4 linked regions of the Notamacropus eugenii genome follow. The protein of the gene in region 3 purifies or fractionates together with the protein of the main gene of each other region. This does not show direct contact. Links are inferred from orthologs where the notes say so. Each region holds a gene or a part of one and is shown on either strand. Other genes may lie near its edges.

What was found.
Region 1: the proteins of DCAF7 (region 3) and DIAPH1 purify together in Homo sapiens (affinity purification with mass spectrometry; 5 studies listed by BioGRID and IntAct, counting the BioPlex papers as one, with this or other methods). This does not show direct contact. The link is inferred for Notamacropus eugenii from reciprocal best matches to the Homo sapiens genes DCAF7 and DIAPH1.
Region 2: the proteins of DCAF7 (region 3) and ZNF703 purify together in Homo sapiens (co-immunoprecipitation; 5 studies listed by BioGRID and IntAct, counting the BioPlex papers as one, with this or other methods). This does not show direct contact. The link is inferred for Notamacropus eugenii from reciprocal best matches to the Homo sapiens genes DCAF7 and ZNF703.
Region 4: the proteins of DCAF7 (region 3) and CSNK2B purify together in Homo sapiens (affinity purification with mass spectrometry; 4 studies listed by BioGRID and IntAct, with this or other methods). This does not show direct contact. The link is inferred for Notamacropus eugenii from reciprocal best matches to the Homo sapiens genes DCAF7 and CSNK2B.

The regions. Positions count from the first base shown.
Region 1 is NC_092872.1:368,992,991-369,000,344, forward strand, and holds the start of DIAPH1 (protein diaphanous homolog 1), read right to left. Parts: upstream 3,001-7,354; 5' UTR 2,763-3,000; coding exon 2,649-2,762; intron 1-2,648. Other genes in the region: HDAC3 (histone deacetylase 3), read right to left, coding at 4,204-4,273, 4,686-4,843, 5,261-5,340, 5,663-5,721, 5,840-5,929, 6,473-6,537, 6,749-6,822, 6,998-7,078 and 1 more. UniProt on the Homo sapiens protein: Actin nucleation and elongation factor required for the assembly of F-actin structures, such as actin cables and stress fibers. Binds to the barbed end of the actin filament and slows down actin polymerization and depolymerization.
Region 2 is NC_092872.1:623,326,770-623,333,633, forward strand, and holds the start of ZNF703 (zinc finger protein 703), read right to left. Parts: upstream 3,007-6,864; 5' UTR 861-3,006; coding exon 597-860; intron 1-596. UniProt on the Homo sapiens protein: Transcriptional corepressor which does not bind directly to DNA and may regulate transcription through recruitment of histone deacetylases to gene promoters. Regulates cell adhesion, migration and proliferation.
Region 3 is NC_092873.1:344,148,670-344,156,490, forward strand, and holds the start of DCAF7 (DDB1- and CUL4-associated factor 7), read right to left. Parts: upstream 3,006-7,821; 5' UTR 2,672-3,005; coding exon 2,534-2,671; intron 1-2,533. UniProt on the Homo sapiens protein: Involved in craniofacial development. Acts upstream of the EDN1 pathway and is required for formation of the upper jaw equivalent, the palatoquadrate. The activity required for EDN1 pathway function differs between the first and second arches.
Region 4 is NC_092873.1:85,320,447-85,327,401, reverse strand, and holds the start of CSNK2B (casein kinase II subunit beta), read right to left. Parts: upstream 3,009-6,955; 5' UTR 2,968-3,008; coding exon 2,880-2,967; intron 2,842-2,879; exon of another isoform or gene 2,732-2,841; coding exon of another isoform or gene 2,683-2,731; intron 251-2,682; exon of another isoform or gene 1-250. Other genes in the region: GPANK1 (G patch domain and ankyrin repeat-containing protein 1), read left to right, coding at 3,617-4,224, 5,490-5,934. UniProt on the Homo sapiens protein: Regulatory subunit of casein kinase II/CK2.

The sequences.
Region 1 (7,354 bases), on a different chromosome or scaffold from region 3:
TCAATGCAAAGTAACACAAAGGGTTTGAAGAAACTGAACTAAATTCCAAATTAGGGGCCCAGGAACTTTAGACTCAGAAAGAAAGATTAACCTAGTCTAAGAGAGGTTAAACACCTAACCTAAAGAAACTCAGGTGACACTGTAGTAACAAACAGGGAATATTTTTTGAGCCAGTAAGAAATTTTCTTCAACTATTAAGCCACATGCTCTGGGTGAAGAAATAATAGCCAGCATAAACACAGGCAATTAGTGGCCTGGAATAATGAGGCTAATTATAAAGATCAATTGTTAACAGGCCTAGGGGGTGTCTAGTTTAACCATAGATAGGCAGAAAGAGAAGGATCACCACTTTACAGCCCCCTATAACAACCACCACCATTTTACACAAATGCTTTCCTCTAAACATCTGTCACTTAAGCGGTAAACATATTATTGCCCTGTTTTACTGATGAGGAAAGTGAGGCAAGGGGAGGTTTGGTGACCTGCCTATAATAACAATTAATAGTTAGCACTCAAACCCAATCACTCCAAATCTATTCCTCTTTCCATTATGCCAGCTACACAAGTAATTCCTGTGTAGTACTGCATTTCTCAACACCCTTGGTTAAAAAGTAGTATATCCTTCCAATTCATCATTTTATCAGCTTTCTTGCCAAGTTTGTGAGGAAATTACTTTGATTGTTTGGGGGAATTAAGAGAGAGAAGGTAAGGAAAAAGAAAGCTATAAGCAATTTATTCAATGAGAAGGAAAGATTGTAAGAGGATTACCATCTTGAAGTGAATACATGGTTGCCAACTAGTAAGGAGCTATTAAAATCTTGTACTCAACTTGCTCTCTTTAAGGAGCTATGAACAACGTGTCCTGTATATTTCCAAATTGTTAAGAAAATAAATATCCCCTGGGACAGGGGTCAAGTTCAGTCCTTTGACTGAATCCAAACTTCACTGAACAAATCTCCTTAGTAAGAGGATATGTCCAGTAAAACTTGGACTCAGTCAAAAGGCTGAACCCAAGGAACTAGAAGGCTACATAAAGCCTCAAGGCCGCAGGTTCCCCACCGCTGCCTCAAGAGAAAGGAGGATTTAGTATGGGGCCAAGGTATAGACATCATAATAAAACATGCTAAGTAAGGGGTTACATGGAAATGACTTTTTCTTCAGAGTGGGGTTGAAGTACTTCTCACAGAAAGAGAGTTGCCAAAAAAGACAGAGTAAGGCTATCAGCAGCACTGAAGAGGATGAGGAGGTAGGAGAGAGGTTGCAATGATGGTTATAATAGAAAATGTATAAAACACAATCACATTGTTCACAAAACTTCTTGGACTTGCAATTTTATTTTCCTCTCCACTTGTGAAGGGAGAGTTACTATTACTCTAGGGCAAGAAGCCAAAGAGTTCACCCCCAAGGAAGTAATGATAGGGCAAAGGAAAAACACTAAGAGGGAAAAAATATTGGAAGACAGAGTAATAATGTGACTGAAGGGCATGTGTAATTGGGCAGGAGTTTATTTCTTTAAATGCAAGGACAAATTTCTGAGAGGTCACATGTCAGGTAACATTCCTGAGAGGGAGCCATTATCAAATGACACTAGACTGAGAGCCTAAAAGATTTTATTGGATGGAAAGTTAACAAGTGAAAAGACTAAATCATAGATCAGGAAATGGGGAGGGGGGCGGGGGCGGGGTAATAACAGAAAACCCAGAGAGACTTAGAAAATGAACCTAGGAAAGTACCTGGAGAAAGGGGGTTGGGCCAAGGAAGAAGGAACATTTATGTTAACAGAAAGAAAAAAAGAAGAAGGAAGTTGAGGAGTGACTGATAGAAGGTAAGAACTAAAAGGTGAGTGAGCAAAAGGGAACTAGTTCAATAAGGGTTATGGGAGAAAAGATCTGAAAGGAGGAAGGTTAAGCGAACATTGGGAAAAAACAGCGACAGCAACGGCAGCAAAGGAAGACACACAGGAGCTGGGAAGTTGGCTACCTGAAGGCTCCCAAGGTGGGGGAGAGAAGGTTACAAGGCTGATGGAAAAGGACTCATTACCATGTATGCAGTAACTCAAGGGGTCCGGGGGCTGGGGGAGGGGGGAAGTGCACAGAAGGAATTAAGGGGAGCCAGGTGAGGGTGGGTGCGGAGAAGCGGCTGAAAGGATCCAGGGCTGGCTGGGCTGGGAGGACGGGAGGAAAGGTACCTGAGAGGCCAGGTGGCGGAGGGGGACCAGGTTTAGGGGGAGAGAGAAAGAGGGAAAACCAGGTCTGATGTGTCTGGAGAGATAGGGATAAAGGTGGCTGGAGGGCAGAGAAGGGATTAGGGGAAGCGGAGGGAGGGCCGGGGGGGTCTGAGGCAGTGGCGGGGGATCAAATCGAGGAGAGGGGCCAGGTGTGCACGGCGGGCGGTTTGAGGGAGGGGGGCTAGAAGGGCCCCCAGGACCGAGTCCGATGCAGGGTGCTGAGGAGTAAGCGGAGGGGTAGGAGGGTGGTTAGGGCTTGGGGAAGCCGGGGCCGGGAGGGACAGTGGCAAGGGGTGAGCCGGGCAGCGGGAAGGGCACCCTGCAGGTTGGCAGGCGGCGGGGGCGGGGGCGGCTCCCCGGCCGTTGGTCCGAGGGGACCGTGATGGGGCTGAAGCCACGGGTGGGTGGGTGGGACACTCACGAATTTCTTGGATTTGCCGCCGTCGCCGGCCGCGGGCGGCTCCTCCGGGCTCCGGCCCTTCTTCTTGTCCCGGGTGCCGCGGCCCGGCCCCAGGCCCCCTCCGGGAGGCTCCATGTCTCAGGCTAACACGCTGCCCCCCGCCGCCTGCTCCCTCCGCTCCGCTCCGCTCGGTGCGCGCCCGCCTGCCGCCCGCTGCCTCCTCGCCGACCGCCCGCGCGCCGCCGCCCAGCGCCTCTCAGGCCCCCGCCTTCCCCGAGCTCATTAGTATGCCGAGTTGCGCGCGCCTCATGAATATCTAGTAGAGCCGACCCAGAGCTCCGAGCCTGCACACTTCCGTGCGGTGCCTACCAACAGTGCGTGGACCTGGGGGGGTGACGATCGTTTCAACGCTCTACCTGCCCGATGGGCTCAACCACTACGCCCAATTTAGTGGGGAGGGAGTTGAGGGGTCTAGAACCAGGAACAGCGCCATCTGCCGGGCCTCCGACAGAAGCACAGACTCTGGTTCTTCGCGTCCCTGCACTGGGGTGGCTGTCGTACCTAGACGTCACGGAGTACACGGGAAATCAGCCTTCTGCCAGGGGAGTGAGGCCTTTGGAACAGGGGATATTAATGGTGCTTTCCCAACCCCACCTTTAGCAAGATCATCCCGGACGGGTGGTAGGCTAACCCATCCACAGAGCAGGCTCCCTGCGTCTTGTCACAAACCCAACCTCGGGGAAACCCCAACGGCATCATTGGTGTTAGCCTCAGACAGCCCAGGCCCACTCTCTTGAGCTAATGAAGTATGGCAGTCCTGGGAAAGGCCCAAGGATTCAGTGAAAAAAAGTAGAAAACAAACACCAGATCTATCACCCCTGGATACAATGACATCTACCCTCAACTCCCCTCCCACCCCCACATTCCCAATAAGATGCACCTAAAAGACATATCAAATTCACAGGAAGAAGGCAGTAGATAAGAAAAATACTGACTCAATTTATTGGATAAAAACAATGGTAAAATGGACATAAAATATGAAAAGGCAGGACACAAAACCCCTCTCCACTCGTTCCTTCCCCAATCAAAAGGGACTGATAACAAATGCCAACCCTCCCCTGGTCCCTTTCCACTCCCAAATTAAAGTGTACATCAGACTGGGCACAGTATGGCTGGGAATAAAAAGGTACCTTTAGTATCATCCACCCCTCAGTTCCGAAAATATCTTTGTCAAGAGGAGACGGGTCTGACAACAGGGGCAAGCTAGGAGACTGGCCCCCAGGGATATGTGACCTCTCTGACCTGTCTAGGGGAGCTGACCTTGTAGCCCCAAGTCAGAGCTAGGACTGTCTCCCATCCACCTGTCCAACAATTACCACCTCTGGCTTGAGAGGAAGAAGACTGGAGTAAGGGTAAGTAGGTTCTGAGACCAGTAGCAGTCTTTGGACTCTTCCCCACAGAGTGGAAAGCAAAGGCCCAGGGATAGAAAAAGTCACTCGAGGGAAGGTCACTGTCCTTGCCACCTGCCCAGCCTTGAAGTGGGAGGTAATTCTGTGGAGCAGAGTCTCTCCAAGCTTCAAATCTCTACATCACTTTCCTTATCGTTGTCATGGTCTCCATCATAGAACTCATTGGGAGCCTCTGGCCTGGGAAGTTGGGAGAGAGATCAGTGCTATTAATCAACAAGCATTTATTAAACACTTAGCCAGGGAAGAGAAAGCAGAAGAAAAAGGGAAAGGGACAGGAAGCAAACAAAAGGTGATAGGAGTAGGCTCCAATGCCTAGATTCCCAACTCCTCTGTCTCTAGCCACCTTCTGGCTTTTCACCAGCAATATTCTCCTTGGAGCCCTTCCACCAAGTCTATTGTAGCCTTTTGTACTTCCCACAAAATATATGTCATGGTTCCCCAAATATTCCTCTCTCCTCTTCCTTAATACCAAGAAGAAGAGAAAAGAAAAAAGCCACCCTGCTATTGCTGCACTCCAATTCTCAGCAAAATAGCCTGCCATTGTCTTTCTTAAGGCTCTCTCAATGGCTATTCTCTCCTTACCCCATACCTGGTATAGTTTTCCTCAGGGCCCCTTTCCTCAGCATCAGCTTCATCAGTTCGGTCATAGGTGAGCAGATCAGACGGCACATCATGGATCTGGACACTGGGTGCGTGATTCAACATCTTCAAATTCTCAAAGATCGTCTGCCGGATCTGGTCAAGGTACTAGCCAGAACAAGAAGGAAGGTATAAGGGGACATAAGCTATTTCTCATCCATTCCCAAAGTTACTATTCCCACCCTCACTCAGAAGTACAAATTCCACAAAAGTCTTTTCTAGTCAGGGACAGACCTGTTGAGCACTCTTTCTTACAGTCTTTGACTATCCTGATTTCTACCTTAGCAACTTAGGTTTCATTACCAGGACTGGCCTGGAATTTCCTTCCCTAGGTTGTTTCCCTCAGTTCCTTGGCCTGTACCCTCAGGCCAAACCCTTCTGATCCTGTGCCACCCCCAACAATCACTCCCCAATCAAGCCAATGGGAAGTAAATCCACCATACCCCAAGTCTACACACTCACTTCTTTGTCCCCACTTCCACCCCCACCCCGCAACAGCCATTCCCATTTCTCTGGGCCACTGACCTGGCGTGAATTCTGGTTTTCAATTCGTGTGCTGACATCTGGATGCAGTGTGAAGTCTGGGGCAAAGTACTCAAAATATTCTTTGTTTGGGGAGAGGAAGATAAACAGATCAGAGCCGCAGGGCAAAGAGTGAGAAAAGTTCAGCACTGGCTGGGAATCAGGGTTCCTGGGTCTCATTTCTATCTAACTTAGACTCTATAGGAAGAAGGGCCAGGACTTTGGTCCCCCTGCAATTCAGTGATTCAGTATCAGAAAAAAAGAGTTAGTAACAATACTAGAAAAGAACTCAACTCTGCCTACTGAAAAATATCAAATTATTCTTCCATCCCCACCCCAGGTCATCCTAGGGTCCCAAGGAAATATATTTGTAAAAGATGGGGTGGGGTAGAAAGAGTATCTCACCACTATATGGTAGCTCTTCACTGATAGCTTCTTCTACCAACAGTGATGTCTCATATGTCCTGAAACAAAGGGAAGGAAAGAACTGAATGAGAAGGCTCTAGGGCCCACCTAGGCAACCCTCAATGAACCCAGGATACTCATAGGAGAGAGGACAGATAGATGAGGGGCTGAACTCACCAGCATCGGGCAACATTCCGAACAGTGTAGCCACCACCACCCAGTACCAGCAATGGGATGTTAAAGCTCTTGACATATTCAACACACTCCCTGTTGAGGACCAGGAAATGTCAACAGCTGAATTATCCATCCCTTTTCCATCTTCACAGTCACTTTTGCCTTAGATCTCTCAACATCCAAGGGCCCCCACCACTTCCAATCAAACCAAAAATCCAAGTTGTTTGTGACATTTTCTTCTTATAACCCATGGCTACATAAGAAGAGTGAAGGATAGTTAATGGACAGAGCATGTATTCCACTGGCCACCAGGCAATGGAAGAATTTGAGGAAAGCCCCTAACACTGCTGGATGGACTCCCTATGAGGAATTTATGAAAGTACATGAAGAAGAGCCCCACACAATGAGCAGGCATAGATGAGTTTCAATTTCTATCACTGAAGGGAATTCCTGCATTAATGAGATCACAGATCCATTGGTTCTGTGTATATCCCCCTCTTAGTTCTTTTGTCTCCACAAGAAAAGGCCAGGACTCTGGCCCTATATCTACAAGTATATAAATTTAAGGCACTTCTGCCAAACCCCAAGATGTTTCTGAAGGGTGTCCAGGATGGTATGGAAAGAAAAGAGTCTTACCCATGACCTCGGATGCTAAGGTTGAAGCAGCCTAACCGATCACAACCCAGGGAATCAGCTCCACACTGCAAAGAGCAAAATACCAGGCAGCTGCGGTGAGATAACTGACTGGGACACATAAGTGATCATCTACCCTATACTTCTCCCCCCAAATTCAGAACTGCCAACCTCCCTGCCAAGTTCCACAGAGGCCAGGGCTAACTCTCCCTCCCAATTCAACTTGCCCCACTCCCCACCCCCCCACCCCCACATTGGGCCATTCAAACTGCTTGCTACCTGTAACACAATGCATGTTGGTTGGTAAAAATCCACCACTTGATTGATGACAGGCTGGAAGAGATGCTTGTAACCTGAAGTGGTAAGAGGTAGACAGCTAGCACCCCAAGGAGAAGGACTGGACTTGGACACAGGGAAAGTAGGAAAGGAAGTTCAGGGAACCTGCCACCCAGGTACAGGGTACAAGAAAACAGTCAGTAGACAGTGAAGAAAAATAATATGAAATTAGGCAAAGAGGTAGTCCTTTACTCTGGTCATCGATGCCATCCCGCAGGGGCACATTGAGACAGTAGTAGCGTCCACTTTCTGCTCCAACTTCATACATATCACCTGGAAAGATGGATGGGGGTAACTTGCTGGGAAAAAACTACAAATGTGAATTTTTTTACTTCAGACATAGACTCTGTGCTCCCAACAACTATCCAACCTGTTCTGTTCCCTTTCTAAAGGTACTTAATCATCCCTGACCTACCATTTCCTCAATCCATCCTCCCCTCCTACCCCCCTACCCTTCCCTGCCAAATATCTCTACCTGTGCCAGGGAAGAAGTAATTGCCATATTTATGGAAAGAGACAGTCATGACCCGATCAGTGAGATAAAAGGCT
Region 2 (6,864 bases), on a different chromosome or scaffold from region 3:
CCAGCCAAGGCCGGCTAGTGCACCCACTGCAGCGCCCCAGGGGAGGGCGCCCCAAGAACAGAGTGGAGAGGATTTTTAGCGTTTCGGACGCAGCCCCCAGAGTGGACTAGACGGGACTTGAAGGCGGAGAGGTGTTTATGGAGGGGGAAAGGGAGGGCGGCGGTAGTGGGGTCAGAACAGCACTTAAGCGTCTTTGGAGTAGGGGTGAGAGGTGGGGCGGTGTGGGGGTGGGAGGAACTGAGCCCATCACAAGATCGCCTCTAGGACCCCAGAATCTGGGCCCGGCTCTGGCCAGGGAGAGAGTGAAAGAGAAACAGGGAGCAAAGAAACTGGGCAGGAAAACCTGCTGCTGGGAGGGATAAGCCCCGAGGTGTGAGCCGTGCTCCTGTATCAATCACTGGCCCGAACCCTCACCCCCACCATCGGTCCACAAGAGTGACTCGGTTCTGCTAAGCGGAGCTCCGAGGTCCCAGGGCATAAGGATAAGGAGCTGGGTGAATGAGGCGGCTGTTTCAGGCAAGACCTGGGAGGAATAGGTCGTGAGGAGTAGGGGTGGCGGGGGGGCGGGGGGGGCGGTGCGCGGAGCAGAGACTGACCTCGATGGGGCTGACTGGAGTGGAGGAAAGCGGCTGCAGGTATTCCGGGTGCAAGAGGTGGCCGGTGTGCGCGCTCAGCATCTTCAGTACCCTGATGGGGAGTCGGTTCGCCTGCCGCAGGGGGTCCGCCGGAGGCAGGAGGGACACCGCCGCCGGGACCGCTGGTCTCTTCCCTCCGCCGCCGCTCTGACTGCTGCCGCCGCCGCTGCCGCTGCTGCTGCTTTCCGGTGTCCTTGGGTTAGATCCAGCGGGCGAATCGCTCATTTGGAGGAGGCAGCGCCACGGGCGGGGACGGGGGGGCGGGGAGGGGGAGCACCGGGGAGGCGAGCTCCCGGGGCGGGCGGGCTCGCTCCGCAGTGCCGAGCGGGGTGCAGCGGCCAACCGCTCCTCCTGCACCTCCCCTCCTCCGCTGCCGCCGCCGCCGCCGCCGCCGCCGCCGCCGCCACCGCCGCCGCTGGCCCGGGCGAAGAACACAAAAACCTTCCCCTTCCCCTAGCCACACGTCAAATAGCCGCGATCGGCAGCCACACTTCAAAGGGAGAGCCGCGCCCGCCCAATCGCTGCTCTCCCAGGGACCCCGGGGCGGGGAGAGCGGGCAGGCGGGGGGCGGCCTCGCCGGGTGGGAGGGGAGATCCTTAAAGGAGCCCCGCGCCGTCTCCCCCGACGCCTCAGCTTCCCGGATTCCGCGGTGGCTCCCCCTTCCCCCCCACTCCCCAGCCCTTCACCTACCCTCTCCCCGCTGGGCGTCCCTTGCTTCGGGGGTCTCTATAAGCACCAGGGCGCCTCTAGGAGTCAGGAGAAAAGCGGATTTCTGCTGCTGCTTGCTTCGTGCCTCTGGGTTCTCACCCGTTCCCCTCTTTCCGCAGCGGGAATGTCATGCGGGTCCAAAGAGGTTCCGGGGGGCAGCTGCGCCCCAAGTTGGGGGGGGCTCCCTAACAGGTCCCCAGCCTCTCTCGGATGCTGACTCCAAAGCGCCCAGGGTCAGCCGGAGAGGGGGCCGCGGTGCCCTCCGCTGGGGGCGCGTTGCTGGTCCACGTCTTCGTTCGGAGCCGAGCTGGGAGTGTTAGCTCGCTCGGCAGCGGAGGGAAGAGAGCGAGAGCGAGAGCGCTGCGCCCTGGACTCGGAGGCACCTCCTGGCCCCTGGCGGCGGTGCGGAGCGGTCAGCTTGAAGTCCTCTCTAATGATCTGTCAGGTCCCAAGCAGGCAAGTTAGGGAGAGGACCCACGCTGGGGTGATGTCATCGCCGCGGCATTACCTCTCCTGCCCAGCTCAGGCTTCTACCCGTGGGTAATGCTCGCCTCCCTCGTTCTCCCTTGCCCTGGCCTGCCTGGTGCTCTGTAAGCGAGCGCTGATTTATTGCTCGGATATTTCAAGTGTTTCGTGTTTCCTTTCATGTCCTCTCTAGAGGCAGAAAATTCTTTCCCTCACTATCACGCCTGGCGGCTGTTGGCTGCTGCTTATGGAGTTCCAAGCACTGGTGAGACCCGAATCCCAGGGAAAAGCTTTCTCACCAGCTGGGGCTGGGCACCCTCTCCTACTCTCCTCTTTCCTTCCACAGTTATAGAGACTTGAGTTTATATATATGTAGGTATGTGTGTAAACACTTTCCCCCGTTATGTATGTCCGTATGCATGTGCTTTTTTAAAATATGAAGTAAGCATATGGAAATTTTGGAACTGTGTGGAAAGAGCCCTCTGTGGGGTCAGAAGACCTACGTTCAAATCCTTCTCTGATCCACTACTTATGTGACTAGGGACAAATCACTTCACTTAGGCCCCGATAACTTCTGGGAACCAGCTACCACATATGTAGAGTTGGAGGTTCCTCCTTGAACTACGATCCTATATGTATATATATATATAACCACAGAGAACCCGTAAGATCACTAAGATGGAGAAATGCTTTCCTATTGTGCAGACAGCATTCACCACAGTCATTCGCTTTAGTTTTTATGTTTTTGACACCCGGCTGGATCTCCTAGCCTGATATATCATTTCTACAAATCAAGGCTTTAGTTTTAGAGTTTTCTTTTGGAGGGGGGGGGCGGGGCTTGTTGCTTGGTCAGGGTATTTTGAATTAGGGTTACTGGAGAAGAGAGATGTAACAGAGAGGAGTATTGTCAAGATACAGTTCTTAGGACCACCCCTCTAAACTCCAGGCACAGAGATACCTTTTCTTGGTCCTTCCTTCAGCCACTGGAGGGAAGGTTCTATCACATGCTTACCCCAAGTACTGCTGCTCCATCAGCCATCATCAGGCACTTCATTAGAAAAAAAATTCTGAACTTAAGAAATAAAACAAGCTTTTCCATAACACAGTAGAATAAAAAAAAGAGATGATTGTACAGGAAATTGCAAATCTGTTATTTACAACTTGCCATTGCTTTTAAATATATAATAAAGTTATCATGTAACTTGCTGTTTTTCTTTTTTTTCTTTCCTCTCTCTTTCCCCTTCCCCCACACCATTTCCTCCCACAACTGTCACTTTGGATGTACAGTATTTCGTGACGGGTCCCAGTCCAACCCCAAATATACCCTTCTGTAGGACTTAGTTCACATGGATTCAGCCTAAACAATCAAGATATATTTCTGAAATCATAGAATTTTAGAGCTAGGAGGAATTTAAAGAGTCTTTAATAAAGATCACTTAGTTCTACATATAAGACAATAGGGAGGGAATGAAATATTTTTCAATTAATCAGTTAAGTATTTATGAAACACTTGCTATGTGCCAGGTACTAAGGATACAAGTACAAAAGAATGAAACAATCACTAATTGAAATAAACTTTCATTATAAAGGAGGAAGACAATAAGTACATGCAATAAGTACATGTATTTGTATTAAGACTTTTGGGATACCCTGTATAAAATTTACAGCATAAATAGAAATATAGGTATATTTCTATTTATAAATACCAGTATCAGTATACTGCTTACAAATGTACACACAGAGGGGCAGCTAGGTGGTGAAGTGGTAGAGTACTGAGCCTGGAGTCAGGAAGACTCAGTTCAAATTTAGCCTCAGACACTTCCTAGCTGTGTGACCCTGGGTAAGTCATTTAACCCTGTTTGCCTCAGTTCCCAAAATGAGCTGGAGAAGGAAATGGCAAACCACTCCAGTATCTTTGCCAAGAAAATCCCTCAAATGGGGTCATGAAGAGTCTGACAGGACTGAATAAAAATTGAACAACAACATATGTAGTAGTTAAATAAAAGGTGGTCTGGGAGGTAGACCTCTGTCGGTTGAGGGGTTCAGGAAAGAAGCTTGGTTAATGCATAGTTAGCACAAAAGCATGGAGAAGGGAGATAGCCACTTTGGCCAAATCTCAGAATGTGGGAGTGAGAGTCATGTCCAGCGAGAATGGAAAGATAGTTTGATGCCAGGTTTTATAGGGCTTAAAAGTTAAAGAGAGGCGTTTCAATTTGATCCTATAGGCAATAGAAAAGTCACTGACGGTTGGGTAAAGGAGTCACGTGGTCAGATCTGCACATAAGGAAAATTATTTTGCCAGCAGTCTGGAGGATTGGAGTGGGGGGAGACTTGAGGCAAGGAGACTAATTTTTAAAATTAATTAATTTTTAAATTTATGGAATAAAACAAGCATTTACATAACATAGTATAATAAGAAAGATTGCACACAAAACTGCAAATCTATTATGCACAATTTGCTACTTCTTTTAAATATATAATAAAGTTATCATGTAAATTTCTTTTTTCTCCCCCCTTTTTTCTTTCCCCCCTTTCAATTAGGGGGCTGCTTCAATAATCTAAGTGAGAGGTGATGAGGGACTGAATTAGAGTGCTAAAGAGATATTGTGAAGGCAGAAAAGGGTAGATCTGGCAGTTGTTTGAATGTGTAGAGTGAGAAGTTGAGGATAATGCTGAGACTATAAATCTGAGGTTTGTGGTGCCTTTGATAGAAAGGGAAATTTGAAAGAAGGGAGAGTTTACAGGGAAAGATAATGAGGTGAATTTTAGATATGTGGAATTTAAGATGTCTTTGGAGTTTTAAAATGTTTCATAATGGGACTGAAGCTCTGGAGGGGAAGACTGAGGCTGGATATACAGATCCATGAGTCATCTGCACAGAGATGCTAGTTATACTCATTTGAGCTCATGATGTTCCTAAGAGAGAGTAGACTGATAAGAATAGAAAGTCCAGGGCAGAACTTCAGGGAACATATACGGGGAATGATATGGATGATGAGCCAGCCAAGGAGTTGAGAAGAAACCAGGCCATAAAAATCCAGAGAGGAAAGAGTATCCAAGAGGAATGGTTGGTCAGCAATGTCAAATACGATGGACAGGTTGAGAAAGACTGAAAAAGTCCAAGAGATTTAGCCATTAAGGGATCATTGATAACTTTAGGAGAGCAGTCTTAGTTGAATAATGAGGTCAAAAGCCAGATTGCAAATGGTTAAAGAGTGAGTGAAAGGTAAAGAAACAGAGACAGCAAATGGAGACAACTTTTTTTTTTTTTTTGCCTGAGATTGTGAGAAGAGATACAGAAGATAGCTTGAGGGTATGTTTGAAGGGATTAGGGAGGGAAATCAGCTAAGAGGAAGCTGTGGAAGCTTTAAGAGATCTGCAATCTGCTGGAGAAAACTGGAGGGGCTGGGATCAAATATACATATATAGGGATTGGACAAAGAAAGGCTTGGACTCTTAGAGTCTGGGGGAAATGAGGTCAAGGATTTTGGAAAAGGAAAGAAGGAGGAAAGAAGAGAGCTCGCTTTGAATGGCCTCAATTATTTTTCCATTAAAGTAAGAAAAGAGAAAGGGGAGAGGAAGAGAAGTGAGGAGGGGTTTGAAGAGGAAAGGGAAAATTTGAATTTTTTTTAAAATAGGGAATGAGGTAGGGATTCCATTAGGGAGGAATAAAAGGACTGCCTTACTTCAGTGAGGGCCTAGTTGGATTGGATGATATGATTTTATAATATAGTTGATCAACAGGATTGTGAGACTTTCTCTTATAAAAATTATTTGTATGAAATGAAATTCAATTCAATAAAAATTATTTGTATTAAATGAAATTCAATTCAATGGCCATTTATTAAAGATACTAGGATAAGCCCTGGGGAATTTGAAGATAAAAAGAGAGAACAATCCCTGTCTGCTAGGAGCTTACTTTCTACTAAAGGATAAACTTAGGATCATAGATATAGAGCTACCTGGGACCTTAGAGGTCTCCAACCTCTTATTTTACAAATGAGGTATTTTACAAGCACAAAAGTGAGTTTACATAGATAGAAAAGATAAGAGCCAGGATTTGAACTTAGATCCTCTCTCTAAACCCAGAACTTTTCCCACTAGATCACCCTATTTGGTGAGTAGAAGCTCCAGGTAGGAGATTGCACCTGAGCTGAGCCATGAAGTAAATTAAAGGTTTCAAGACATAAAGGTGATGAGGGCGTATATTCCAGGACTCAAAGGCAAAAGGGATGAGGTAGGAGATGGAAAGGCAAGTTCAGGGAGCAACAAGTAGCCCAGCCTGACCAGAATGCAGAATAATGTGAATGAAGTAGGTCTGGAAGACTAGAGTGTAGACAACTATGAAGGGCTTTCAATACCAACCTAAAGGTTACATTTTATCCTTGATGCAATAGAAAGCTATCTTAAGCAGAGGAAGGTAATGTTTTCATTGGATTAGAAGGGGGAGAGATTGGAAGCAGAGAGATTAATTAGGAAATTATTGCAGTAATTCAGGTAAGAAGTTATGAGGGCTTGATGTAAGGTCATGATTATGTGAGTGGAGAGAAAAGAACGAGTATGAATTAAGTCATGGAAGGAGAGCCAAAAAGATTTGGCAACCGATTGAATATAGAGGATGAGGGTGAGGGAGAATAAAGAGTGGAGGCTGATCCTGAAGTTGGCAACCTGGGTGACTGCAAGAAGGTGGTGACTTCAGTGGAAAGAGAGAAGTTTGGGGTGGGGCAATGGATATGATGAATTTGAAATATCTATGAGACATCTGAATAGAGACCTCTATTAGACAGTTGATACTACGGAGTTTAGAAGAAAGTCTAGGGCAGAGTACATGTCTCTAAGAGAGATAGTAAGTAAACCCATGGGACCTAATGAGCTAAACAAGAAAACAGGGTCTGAAGAGAGAAGTCTAACTGCCACATTCTAGATATACCGCGCTGCTATAAAACATATAGGTACAAGGATTGGGAGGTTATGAAACGTCTTCTTATAGGCTGTCACGTCTGGTAACTGGGATCATTTCCAGGAGTGCCTGATTTAACTACTTGTCCCCTCACCA
Region 3 (7,821 bases):
GCCCAGTTAATTTGGGGTTTACTAGCTAGATGTCTTTCTTTTTCTCCGCTCTCTCTCTTTTTTTCTTTCTTGTCTTTCTTTAAACCCAGGGCACTCTGAACACTGAACAACAACGGGTCCCTGCCCAAGCTCCATTCAATGGCTGTTTTCTGGACCCTCCTGCCTTAGAGTGAATGTCAATAGTAACTGTTACTCTTTGAAACAACAACCCTGTGGGTCCTGATTTATTTAATTTTTCTTTTTTATTTAAAGTGGCCACATCCCAACTACTTCTTAAAAGAGGCCTATTCACTGAAAGAGCACCACCTCACTCTAAGTGAGTACCTGAAAAGACCTCAGCCTATGAGGCCAAGGTCTCCCACTGCATTCTGAACTGTCTCCATTCATCCTAAAGAATATCTGATCACTGGATACAGATGGCACAGGAGGGGAAAGCGAGGCTGGTGACCTTGCACAGCCCTCCCTCATTCAAAACAAAATCAAATGCATGTCATGTCATCATTTCTCTGATGTCATAGTCCTCTTCAAAAAGTGAGCACAATCACAGACTGTTAAGGTATAAAGCCTAAGGCAAAAGGAAGAGTAACTTTAATCAGCAAATAATAGCTAGTTTGGGGCTGAAGATTCTGGTTCTACCACAAGGCCTCAGTTTCTCCATCTGTTAAATAAGGGATTATATTAAATTATTTAAAGTTTCTTCATAGGCTAACATTCAATAATTTTAAATCCCCCCAAAAGGGGTGTGGGTAATTAGCTAGAAGTTTCACAAGTGAAGAGTCTTGAATATCTTCATAGAATAGAAATACTGAATTCTGCTTCTGCCAGTTGAACTGGAAGGGAATTCATTAAGTAGCACTAAAGTGAAAAAGACTACTTGTGCAATAGCCATAGAATAGAAACCAATGGAATCAACAAGAGTAAGAGATGAATGTCTTACCAACGACGGCTAATATCACATTGACTCTGTGTTTTGTGATTTCCATTACACAAACACTAAGAGTCAAACAGGCACAAAAGACACAAAGTCCAAACAAAACAATCAATCCCTGCTCTCATGAAGCTTACTTTCTATGGAAGGGATTCAACATGTACACTGACCAAATTTCACGAAGGGAAAGGAGTCTGAAATAAGGCTGGAAACAACCTCTATTAGAGCCACACTGTGAAGAACCCGAATGCCAGGCTGAGGGAAGGCCTCTTCTACCTGAGCCACAACAACTGAGGATTCACTGAAGGTTTTAACGAAGGCAGTGCTTTGGGAAGGTGATGTTGGCAGTTGTCTGGAAGAAGGACTGGAGGAAAGACTGGAAGCAGGGAGAACAATCAGAATTCTATTACACTAGCCCAGGCAAGAGGTGATCAGGGTCTGAACTAGGCTGGCAGCCTTATGAGTGGAAATGAGAAAAATGAAAGTGATGATGTGGAGATGAAATCCACAAAGGCGGCTGGATGGGAGAAACCAAGTCTGCCTCAGAGGTTAAGTTACAAACGTGGTGTGACTAGATTCACAGTGCTGCCTTCAAGAGAAAAAGGGAAGCATGGAGAAAAAGCAGTCTAAAATAATAAGGTAAACAAATCAAAAAATAAGTTTTAGTGCAATTTTAAATTAACTGTGTGCACGTGCGTATGGCTGATAACTGTCTCTTGCCCAGCGACTATCGGTGTACAGCAGCACTTTTCTTCGACCTGTGATTTCACTGGGGCAGAGAACTGTTGTCGAAACAAACTCCCTCCACTGACGCTACTGTGGCATCCAGCCTTCGAGCAGCTGGGGCAGGGAGAGGTTCAGACCCCTGCCCGAGCTCATGAAGCTCCCTCCGCAGATGCTGCTCTAATGCTCTAACGCCTTTCCGAGCCATGTGGGACACTGAAAGATTAGGCGACCTGCCCTTGACCACACGGCTGTATGCCAGCAATGGAATACCGTTTTTCCAGTGTCCCTCTACCCACTGGGCCAAGCGGCCCCTCTGCCCCTTCGCATGGCACTCATTAAGAGTCTGTGGCGACAAAGGTTCACCTCCCTGAGGCTCCTCTTCTAGGAAGAGGTTGAGGAGGGAGCCCCTAGTGACATCAAGAGCAGAGGAAGCCAGAGAGGGAATAAGAGGCCTTTACACAAAGCGAGCAATTTTAGTCTTGTTTGAACCGCAAAATAAGGGGATACTGCAAGTATCACACACACACCTCCCCCCCCCCCGGTTTACAGCAGGTGGGGGACTCAGTACAGAGGCGGGAAACTGAGGAAGCAAGGAAAGGAAAACTAAGAAGGAGAAGAAATCTCAGGGAAGAGAGGGGTCGCGAAGACAACCAAACAGTTAGTCTTTAAATCTCGAACACTCCACCCCCCCCCCCGCCCACTTCCCAGTCATCTACCCCAGGGGACGCCCGGGGAAGGCCCAGGGAAGGGGGGGGGGGGGGGGGGCAGAAACAGGTTCATCCCCGCAGGGGAGCGAGGATCAAGGGGAGGGGCCAGCGCCGGTCAGTTCCCTCCCCTCCCCCAACCCCGGGGTCTCGCGCCGCCGGGCCCCGCCCCCACCTTGTTGTTGTACTCCTCCACAAAACTGCCCAGCGCCAGGCGGAAGCGCTTGTCGGGCCGCACGCTCCAGTTCATGGCGTAGACGGTCCATGGTGCCTCATACTTGTAGATCTCCTTCCGCTTTCCGTGCAGGGACATGGCGGCGGCAGCAGGGCCGCCCTCCGGACCCGAAAAGCCGGAGCGGAGGACAGAGGCCGGGCCGGACCCAGCCGAGAGACTCGAGGGGGAGGTCTGGGGTGGGGGGCGGGGTAGGGATGGGGGTCGGGAGGTGGGACGGGAGGGAGGAGGGTGGGGTCAGCAGGGACCGGTGGAGGGGGGGAGGGGGAGAGCCCCGCAGCTACAGACAACGGCTCTGGTGCCCGACCCCCAGTTTCAAACCTGAGGCACTGACCACAACCACCTTCCGTTTGGGACGCTCCCCCGCCCTCAAGGAGCGGAAACCACGCGACCCTATAACAGCAGTAGCCGTTGGCGGTCTCCCACGTCGGTTAGAACGACCCTTTGCTTCTATTGGCTGTTAGTCCCATCGTTTCCAAGATCCTTCTTCCTATTGGCTGTGCTCTATGTCATTCCACCGAGTCTCTCTCCGCCTCCTTGGGGGAGGGGAAAACAGAGTTTTCATAACCCTGAAAAGCCGTTGGCTGGTCGCGATGTCAATCGAAGAGATCCCCTAGTCTTCCAGGCTGGACTTGAAGGGGGGTGGGGTCGGAGGCGGATGGACCAGCGCTCTCGAGACTGGCTAGTGCTGGTGCCGTTTAGATCTTGAGGCTCTAGCGTTCCCAGAGACCTGTGCCCGGGAGAGGGGGCTCTAAGGGACTCTGACCTTGTGTCTCCCTACCAGTGGGCTGCAGGTCCTGATAGGGAGTCACCGGCAGTGTACCACGTGGAGCCCATATCTCTATCACTTTTGTCTCACGCACCCTGCCTCCTCTTTTAGGGCATTCGTGCCCCCCACCTCCGCCCCGCCCCCCGCCATTCCCTTTTATTCCCTTTTTGCATAGCATTTCCCAACCCTCGAAGACGTCCTTTTTCCGTGAGCGTGACAGGTCAGCCTTGTGTGATCTAGAAATGGTTGGAGTAGTAGCTTTATTAGACCATATCCATCATCTGAAAAATAAGGGATAGATTAAATAATTGGTATGTGAACTCTGCCCATCAAATAGTACTTACAAGCTGTCAGTAATTCACAGTTTCACAGAATGTAAGCTCAGGGAGGTTAACTTGCCTCTCTACAGCCACACAGCTAACAGGTGTCCAGGTCTCTGTCTCTTCTTCTGTAAAATCGAGGTGGGGGCGGCGGCACGGAAATAAGTATCCATTTAGCACTAGCTACGTGCCTGACTCGGTGCTTAGCGATTGACAAAAGTGAGGCCATTGCAAGGTACGGGTTATCCTCGTTTTACGATTGAAACTGACTTGCCCAAGATCACGCAGTGTTGGAGACTTCATTCTAACCGCCTTCTTGACTGCCAGCCCAATCCACTTTGCCAACTAGTTTGGTTTTGGGTTTTATTTTGGTTGGGGGAGAAGAACCACCAAGAGGAAGGGGAGGGGCAAGATCAAGCTTTCTTAACCCGGGGTCCGGGACCTTTTTTCTTGAGATTTTGATAGAATTATTTTGTAATGCTCTTTACGCATTTAAAAGAATTTGTCTGAGAAGGAATCCCTAGTCTTCACCAGGCTGTCAAAGGTGACCGTGCACAAAACACATTAAGAACCGCATGGGCTTGTCTCCAAAGGTCTCTCTAGCTCTGTCTTGTGACCTATGACCTTTAAATTTAACAAATGATTCCTGGAAATGACAACACCTTTTGTCCTGAATCTATTTATTTGACTAAGAGACTTGGGGTGGGTTAACATGGGCATTGATTCAGAGTGTTAGAAGCCAATGCTAATCAAGACCAATTAAAATAGAAGAAAAGTACCTAGGAAAGGATGTGCTTAATAGCACTTATTAACTGAGATTATGAGCAAGCTACTTACCCTCCTTGAACCAGAGGTAATTCTCTGAGGTTGTAAGTTATTGAGAGTTTAGAATTGCCATTGATGGGAGGCTTCCCATACCAATGAATTCACACATCTCTCAATCTATTGACCTTTTCTGTATAAAGATGAGAAAGACTGGAATTGTGTGCACTTGCTTAACTTTAGTTGAAACGAGATGATACAGAAATATCTTGCCTCCTTTATTTTAAAATGAAATTTTCATTATGAACTTGATAGCCATCAAATACCATCATTTCCATTTACAAATGACAAAAAACGATTGCATATGACACTGAATCTATCATGTAAAGCTTGTCATTTTTCAAGTGTACCTCTACTTTAGCAATGGTAGTATTAAAACTGCCCTTGTGGTTTGGGTCCTCTTTTGAATTTCTTTCTGTGTATTTTATATATTTTTTTGAAGTTTTTCTTCCTTCCTTTCTAACTTCCTTCCTTTCTTCCTGTCCTTTTTTCCTTCTTTCCTTCTTGCCTCAACATACCCCCATTATCTCCCCCACAAAAAGCTATCCTTTGTAATAAATGAATATAGCCAATAAAAGTGGTATTGGTCCTGCCTGAAAATGCCTTATTTTGTACAGTACATATATATAGTCCATCATCTGTCTACCAGAAAGTGGAACACATGCTTCATTAGCAATTTTCTGGAATAAGATTAGTCCCTGCATTATCAGAATTCTTGTCTTTTAAAATTATCGTCCTGTACACTGTTATAGTTTTCAGTTATTAAGACTGTATGAGCATAATAGCCAAACTAGGATTTACTTTAAAACTTGAGTTTGTTTCTTCACTAAACCTCAGCAAAAGCACCGCAAAACAAAAGGAAAAATTTCTAAAGTGTGATATTTTCCATTCTACCTACACCTCTTTTCCCATTAGAAATCATTCATCTCTTCATATAACAAAAGCCTTGGGCTCTTAGGTTTACATCAGAGTTACTAGGCACACGATCTACTAACAGGACAATAAATAATAATATGGATATAAATGATTATATTAGTTTAGCTCTTGGAAAGATAGCAGCAGTCACCTCTAAGAACTCAGCAGATCTTGCTTCATACCTTGTGAATAAACGTGGGGCTACTTGTCTGCATTGCCCCTTGCCATCATGTCTTCCCTATCCCCTCCTGTCTTCTCCAGCAGATTGCCCCCACTATCATCCCCTCCCTCTCTCTAATCTTAATAACACTTGGCTACTTCCCTGCTGCTCATATTCCTCTAGTATCCTCATTCTCGAAAAACCCTCACTAGACCCTACCATTCCCTTAAGCTATCACCATTTTTTATATATCCTCCCTTCCACAACCAAACTCTTTGAAAAAGTTATCTACACTGTCTATTTGCTCTTCTCTCACAGGCTGGTCAAACCTTTCCTGATTAGTTCCCTACTTCATCATTCAACAGAAATCCTTCATTCCAAAGTTACCAAGGATCTTAATTGCCAAATCCAACAGCTGCTTCTCTATCCTTACTCTTTGTGCCTTTGTGTAGCATTTGACTCTATAGGACAACCGTTTCCTCCTGGACATTCTCCCCTCTCCGTGTTTCTGTGACATTTTTGTTGTTCTCTTACCTACATGACCTGAAAGGGTCTTTTTCAGTAGCCTCTTTTAGAGCCTGTTTCACGTCATGCCCCCTAACTCTGGAGATAACCCACATAACTGTCCTGGACCCTATTTTCTTTTTTTCTACTCTTAAAAAACTAATCTATGGAATAAACCAAGCATTTCTATAATGTAACATAATAAAAAATCTTGCACATGAAACTGCAGATCTATTTAGTACAACTTGCTATACTTTTTAAATATAATAAACTTATGTAAATTTCTTTTTCTCTATATTCTTTCACTTGGTGACTTCATCTACTCCCACAGATCTAATGTTTTTAGATAAATTTTTATTGCTATCTTTTGTTTTTATGTTATCTACATTTCCCACTGTATCTCTCCGTCCCTCACACCCTTACCATCTGATTATTGAGAGCCATACCCTATAATAAAGAAGAAAAAAAAAGGAAAAAATTCAGCAAAACTAACCAACATTTCAAAAAAGTTTAACATTATAAAATGTTACACACTACATAGAAGGTTTAATTGTCATCTCTATCCTACTCTCTCTTCTGAACTACAGTCTTATGTTGCATCACCAACTGCCTGTTGGCCATTTCATAATGGACGTCCTCTGGTCATCTCAAACTGAACATGTCCATAACTGAACTAATTTCTCCCTAAACCCATCTGTCTCCTGAACTTCCCTGTCTCTGTCAAAGGCACCATCATCCATCCTCCCACTATATCAGTTAATTAACCTTGGTGTTGCCCTTGACTGGTCCCACTTATCCCATTTATCCAATAAGCTGCCAAATGTCATTTCTTTCTCCACAATACTCTACAGCCTAGCCAAACTGCCCTTCTTATAGATACATGGTATATCATCTCCCTTCTCCATGTTTTTATCTGGATTGCACTCCTTCCTCATCTCAGTCTGTTGAAATTCCTGGTTTCCTTCAAGACCTATCTCACACTTCAATTTCAGCACAAAGCTATTCTTGGTCATCCTAATTCTTAGTGCCTTCTCCCACAGGGTTACATCTTACCAGATTTGAATATACCTATAAATTTGCATGTTGTCCCCTATCCCATTCCCACTTTTAGAATGCAAACTTCTTTAATAAAAGGGACTATTACACTTTTGCTTTTGTATCTTCAGCATCTAACACAGTGCCTGGCATATAGTAGGCACTTAATGAATGCTTATTGATTGATTGATTTCCTGTTTCTCTGCCAGTATTGAAGGAAACCTAATGTGTGTGGGGGAAGGGGAAGGTGAGGGAGTTGAGGAAGGAGAGAAGTCCCCAAAAGAGAAAATTCTGCAGGACCCTCATCCCTACACAAAATTCACATTTTCCTAATCTCCTAGTCTTTGGAAAGAGTGTGTGAATTAAATTATTTTGTGTCATCTTAATTTTAGTACCTTTGGGACAGAGCTCCAGTTGCCCCTACCCTAGTTACAGTACTGACATTTGTGCATTCCTTTGCCCAGGACTCTGTGATATGACTGCCCAGAATATGAATCTATTACTACCTATCTAAGCCTATTCTTCCTTCCACACTCTTAGGTTTTGTTTTTTTTTAAGGTGATCACAAGTGATATGATTGTGGGTCTGAGTAAGTGACTAACCTGGACAACCCACAGCTATATCACACATACAACCCAGTATGAATTTTGATGGATTTATTAGCTGGCTGAATGTCACAACTTCCCCAAAGGGGCCCAAGTGGCAT
Region 4 (6,955 bases), about 260 Mb from region 3:
GCAGCGAAGGCCGCGGACCCGACCGCGGCAGGCGAAGCGGTGGGGGGGTAGGGGGGAGGGGAAGGGGGAAGAGAAACGGGAGGGCGGGAAAGTACACAGAGCGCAGGCGCAGGAGGTCAGGCTCCCCCCGTGGAAGACGGGATATGGAGTCCCTGAACAGTAGTAAGGCTGGGCTAATAATACGACTTCCGGAAGACACCCTTGCCCCTGTCCTCTCAGTGAAATAGGGCAGGGGGCGGGGCCACAAAGGAGGAAGGACTGGAGGCTCTCCTCTAAGATGCTGGAAACAGGAGCCCGAGATCGAGGTTAGCGCTGGTGAACATGGGAAATGTAGTCCTCGTGCCCACAGAGAGCAACACCCAGACTAGGTAAGGTTTGGAGAGTCTTTCTCCTACACATCAGCGAGCCGAACAAGATTGGGATTAAATTGGAATTGGACCGTCTTTCTCCTATACGTCTCACAGGTAAGGTATCTACAATAACGGTCTAGCTCTTCAGTTTATACTAAATGTACTGCATACTTCCCCAGTCATCTATCTGTCATCCCTCACCCTTATTTCCAGTCATCTCCCCTTTTCTCACAATCCTCATCCCCCTAACTAGCCTTCATCATCCCATTCTCCTCAATCATTTTTCATCATCCAGTACTTTAACAAACTTTTATATAAACGCCTGTTATATATTCAAAGCACTGATGGGTGTGGGATTACAAAAGACACTATGAAAAACACTACTGGAGAATACATGTATTCCAGTATTCCAAGTTGATCTGTGCAATCTCATTGATGTGGGTATTTTTCGACCCCGCAATGAGGTACATATACATAAATACAAGATAATTTGAGAGAAAACTGAAATCTAGGAGGATTAGGAAAGGCTTCCTGCAGGAGTTGGCATCTGAGTTGAACCTTCAAAGAATTCTAAGATATGAAAGTGATGGAGTACATTCCAGAGATGAGACACATTTTTCCTGTACATTTTCCTAAGTGAGGTTGGAAAGTCTTTCCCCTACATATCTCACAGGTAGAGTATGTATCATAATGCTTCTCAGTTTATTCTTAATCTTTAAAGGCACAGCACATCACAGAAGCAGGAGATGGAATGCCAAATTCAGAGAAAAGTAAATAGGTCAGTTTGCCTATAACACAAGAGTGGATGAAGGAGAGTAGTGTGAAATAAATCTGGGGAACTAAACTGGAGCTAGATTGTGACTTTAAAAGCTAAATTGAAGAATTTGTCTTTTATCTTAGAGGCAAAAGTAAGCCACAGAACTTTCTTGATTAGGGGAGTGCCTTGTTCAGATCTGTGTTTTAGCAAGATTTTTTTGCTTCTATGTTAAAGATAGATTGGAAAGGGAACACATTGGAAACAGAAAGAGCAACTTGGAGGCTATTACAATAGTCCTGGCTAGGCATGATGAGTGCTGATTGCATGGTGGGAAATGAGTTCTATTTTGGATACGCTGAGTTGGAGATCCAGGTGGAAATATCCAGCAGCCAGTCAATAGACTTTATTCATCAGTGTTTTTGTCTTTGTATCCAAATGCCTAGTACAGTGCCTGGTACACTGTAGATGCTTAACAAGTGTTTGTGGAACTAACTGATCTGGAACTTGAAATCTGGGAGAGAGATTAGGGCTAGATATGTAGATTTGAGAGATATCTGTATACAGATGATAATTGAATCTTTGGGAACTGATATAAAGAAATACTGTAAAGAAAGAAAAGAAGGGGACCCAAGACAGAGCCTCAGGGGGAACACCCATGCTTAGTGGTTTGAATACCTATGATGTTCCAGCAAGGGAGACTGAGGAATGGTCCTTCAGGCTTGAAAACCAGGAGAGTGTAGTGTGATAAAAGCTAAGTTGAGAGCAAGTATTTAGGAAGAGGGGGTGATGAACAGTTTCAAAAACTGAAAAGATGAGGAATGAGAAAAGGCCATTTGATTTATAATTTAAAGAAAATTAATAATTTATAATGAAATTATTAATAACCTTGGAGAAACCCGTTTTGGTTGTGGTAGTGGGAGAGGTATGGAGTTGGGCTGTGAAAAGGATACATGTAGGATGATAGTTTGAGGGTGTGCTAGTGAGGGTTTAGGCAAGGATGGGGAAGGCTTGAGCATGTTTGTAGATAAGAGGGAAGGAGTCAGTGGATAAGAGGAGAGAGGGGCAAGCTCTGGGAAGAGATAAGATGAAGGGGTACAAGTTGAGAGAGGACTGACAAGGAGAAGGGGTGCCTTCTTATAAGAAGAAAATGGGGGATAATTGAGAGGGTTGGTTTATAGAATAGGTAAGAACAGTTCATGAAGGATAGCTTCTATTTTCTCAGTAAAGTATGAAGGCGTTCCTTCATCCCATCTTCCTTCATCATAGTTCATCTTCCTCTCTCCCTTTATCCAACCTTCATTACCCCTATCTTTTATTTCTTCCTCCAAGTTGCCAATTAACCCTTACCATCTATCTCTATTCCCACCTCTCCACAAATCACCCCATACCAAGTTAGCCCCTGCGCCAGCTCTACCAAACAGGTCCTCATGTCCACCCTCCTCCAGAGCACTGGATGACCAGGTTTCTTTTTTGCCCCTTCTCTCCAGAGAATGGAGGTGGGGTGGTACTAGGGAGTGAAAGGGTTTAACCCCAGCCTCCGGGGTAAAGGGCTTGTCATGGGAGGGGGCCGCTAACCTGAGGTGGCACCAGCCATCCTGTTAGTTGTCCCCTTGCCCTTCTCCATCTCCTCCTCCACTCCTAGGGGCTAGGCTGGCCTGCAGCAGCACAGGGCTCTTTGTCTAGCCCTCAAATGCTGGTTGCACTAAGAGTGAGAGGCAGCCTGGCCCTAATTCGCGTTTAGACTTGGCTGCACCCTGCAGGCCTGTGCCCACCTTCCTTGGGCAGCTGACTCCACCGAAACCCCGTCTCTGGCCCCAGGAAATGGGCTTCGGGGGCCACTCTGAGAGGAACGAAGCACATTGTGGGGCGTTATGCAAACGAAGAACCCTAACGGCCGGTGCCCCTCCCTTCCCCCACGGGGGCCTTCGCGCCTCTGAGCACGCGCCTGCCTCGAGCTACCGAGCAATTCGAATCAAACCGGCGGCTAAGGAGCGGAGAAAAGGAGCAAAATAAACAGAACGCGGGCGCAGAATCCCGTGTGTGTGTATGTGTCTGTGTGTCTATCTGCCTCTTTTTAACCACCTCCGCATCGCTCCGGCCTCCAGTCCTCCATCTCGCCAGGTTATTTTACGGGTGCTGTCAAGGCGGCACGCTTCAAGTGTTCCTTTGGTTCCAGACTGAGACTGTAGTTTGACGCAGGCGCACTCTCTTCTCAGTGATCTACTTCCGGAGTGTTTTCTGCGCCGGCGCCGTGTCTCAGCCTGGCGCTGGTTGCTACTGGGACTTGAAGTCGAGTACCGAGCGTAGGGAGTTAGAGGTGGGATCCAGAGAGGAGGCCTGTAATCATTGAACTTACTTCCTGGTTGCCGGTCGCTTACAAGTCTCGGTGGGGGGCTTTGCCGCCCTTTACTGGGTTAGCTTTAGGATGACCCACTTGGCGTTCGCTCCACGCTGGCCCGGTAACTGCTCCTGAGGGCGGCTGGCTTGATGTTCCCCCACCCCAGCAGTCATGACCCGCCCCGCCCTTATCGCCTTCACCCCGGCCCGGGACTCGAGTGACCACTGGAAGGACGGGCGGCAGCAGCCGGAGTCGGAGCTCCCCCTGGACGGTGCAGCCGCCCGGAACTTCTATGAAGCCCTGGTCGGGGTGGAGGGAGACGCCCTCAGAGGGCCCCCGGCACCCTCGCGGGCGCCCCCCAAAGGCAGAAAACGGACGCAGAAAACTAGGCTGGAGAGGGCCGGGGCCGCGGCGGGAGCGGCTGCGGCCCGCGCCGAGAGCGATGGGACCCGGGAGCGACAGACCGCGCGGCTCCTGCGGGCTGCGCAGGCCGGGGACGTGCGGCAGCTGCGCGCCCTGTTGGAGCCCCGAGGCCCGGGGGCCCGCGGGGCCCATGTCAACGTCAACGCCCGGGACGCTTTCTGGTGGACCCCGCTGATGTGTGCAGCCCGGGCGGGCCAGGGACCGGCAGTGCGCTACCTCCTGGCGCGAGGAGCCGCCTGGGTGGGCGTCTGTGAGCCCGGGGGGCGCGATGCTGCCCAGCTGGCCGAAGAGGCCGGCTTCCCCGAGGTGGCCCGGATGGTCCGAGAGAGCGGTGGAGAGGAGAGGCCCCAAAGCCGGTGAGTGGCAGCCCCCTGCCACCGTCCCAGTCTAGCAGCTGACGGGGAAGGGTCCGAGTCACCAAGAAAGTTCGGTGACCTTCCCTGCGAGCCTGGAGCTTACTGGCTAAGGGCGAAAGCCATGCAAACAGCTTCATGCTGGAATTAATAAGAAAGAGATAAGGCGCTAGCATTAAGGGAGGTGGATAAAAGCCTGTAGAAAGTGAGGTTTTATCTGGGACTTGAAGCCATGAAGTGGAGAGGAGGAGGGAGAGCATTCCAGGCCTGGGGCACGGCCAGAAAGAAAGCCCATGGTCTGGAAGATTGTCTTGTGAGAGGAAGGCAAGGTGGGCATTATCACTGGATCTCGGTGTGGGGGTGAGTGCGGTGTAGGAAACCTAGAAAGGGACTCGAGGGCTCCCTTGTCCAAGGACTTTATTTACCAAATAGGATTTTAAGTTTGGAGGTGACAGCCCATGGGTCAGATCTGAGGATGCTCCTCAGCCTCTTCCCCCATCTACTGCTAACCTAGGTTCTTGGGAGGATCAGATGAGGTAATAGCTGTAAAGGATTTAGAGCACAGTGCCAGGCACATGGTCAACTTTGCAAATGTTAGCTATCGTCATCTTCACTATTACACTGTCCTACCCCACCCCATTAAGGAGTCGGTGGCCAATAATACCTAGCCTCCTTTCCACCTGGGGATCCTTGAGATTGTTCTCTATGGTAGCAAGGCCCTGGTTTCTAAGGACTGGTGAGAAAGTATACCCGAGGAGTATGGATTAATAAGGTGTGGTCACCCTTTTCAACTCCAGAGCTGAGCCAACCTTGAGCCTCCTGTCCAGTAAAGTAATACAGTCTTTGAAGACTTATTCAATGCCAGTAAAATCTAAGGCGCTGTGTATGCTGGAAGTTGAACATGCAAAACTACACAGATTCCCTGGAAGAGCTTACAGCCTACCAGGGACTGATACGATGCTCTGTCTTACTACCTCTGACTGGGGGAAGTCTGTCTGTCTGGGCCTCAGTTCCTCATTTGTTAACTAGAGAGTGGGGTTGGACTAGATAACTTCTAAATCTCCTTCCAACTTTAAGTTTATTGTAGTTCTTGCATAAGTGTTTTACTAGGTTGAGTAAAAGGCACAAAAGAGCTCCAGAGTGCTTTAGGAAAATTAGAGGAAGAAACATGAGCAGTTGTGTATCAGGCTTCATAGAAGAGGAAGCAACTGAACTGGACCTTGAAAAGACGCCCACCTTCACTCTTTTCTACCTTTTTTTTTTTCCAGGCCCTGCTCTCCATTGCCAAAATACTGTGAGACTTGTAGTTCCCATTACCGAGACACTAATCACAACAGCTCTACTGCTCACCTCCTATCCCTGTCCCATGGGCCTCAGCCACCCCCCTTGCCTCCAGGAGTCCCTGCCTCTAGCCCTGGCTTTCGATTGTTAGTGAAGGGGGGTTGGGAGCCTGGATTGGGACTGGGACCCCGGGGAGAGGGGCGCACTGCTCCCATTCCTACAATCCTCAAGAGAGACCAGGAAGGTTTGGGATATAGGCCAACTTCTCAACCCCGAGTCACACATTTTCCTGCTGGGGACCTTCGTGCTGTGGCTGAAAAAAAAAGAGCACCTCGAGCTGCCACTTTGGGCAAGAGAGAAGAGAGACATCGAGAGGAGAGGAGTCGAGCTTGGGAACGGAATCTACGGACTTACATGAACCTTGATCTCTGATCCTGACTATATAAACTATGATCTCTGATCATAGACTCTTTGGAGACCTGTGACTACCTACCCCCAAGGATCTTACTGCTGACATCTGACCCTGAACTTGGAATTTTAGTCCCTTGGGTCTTCCTAGACTTGAAATCTTGGATTTTGTTTAGTTTGATTTTAGCCTTTGCTGGAGGGAGATTGCAAAGGTTGATTCATCCTTGCTTAAAGTTGAGAAATAAACATATCTTTTTTGTTTTGTTTTGTGATGTTTTCCTGCTTTGGAGGGGAGTAGGACAGTTTTGAGAGAGGGTGGAATTTGGAACTGGGATGGGGAAGGGGCAGCAGTAAACTCATACTGAGTTATCTTCCACCGTTTTGGCTATGTGTTGTAGAGTGATAAAATTTAGAGCTAGAAAAGACTTGAGATGATCTCATTCAACCCATTCATTTTCACAGAAGGGGAAAGTGGGACCAGAGAGGCCAATGAACCTTAAGTAATTTATAAACATTTTAAGTGCCTACTGTGTTCTAAGAACTGTACTAAGTAGTTCTTTAATTGTCTACAGGGCAAAATACAAACTCTTTTGGCATTTAAGCCTTTTCCAATCTATCTTGAACCCATCATTCTTTCTAGACTGATTTCACATTACTTCTCACCCCCCTCAGCCAAAGTGAACTGTTTGATACTCCTCATGTGTAACATCTCCAGCCTCTATGCCTTTGCATAGGCAGTTCCCCATACCTGAAACATTTCAATCTCAAGTGCCAGCTCCTATGAGAGATCTTTTTTGATTTTTCTCTATCGGCACTTTTCTTCATCCTCAGACAAAATATGTTCTATCTTCTTACATATACAAATTCCCCTCAGTAGAATAGAAGTGCATTAAGGGCAAGGACTGGTTTATTTTTATCTTTGTGCTCTAAGCACCTGGCACAGCACCAACTAAGCAGGCTTAAATGCATTTGGAATTGAATTGATACCAATTTCTTTTATCTTTATGAATTTCATGTTATCAGATGCAGGACAACACTCTAGCCT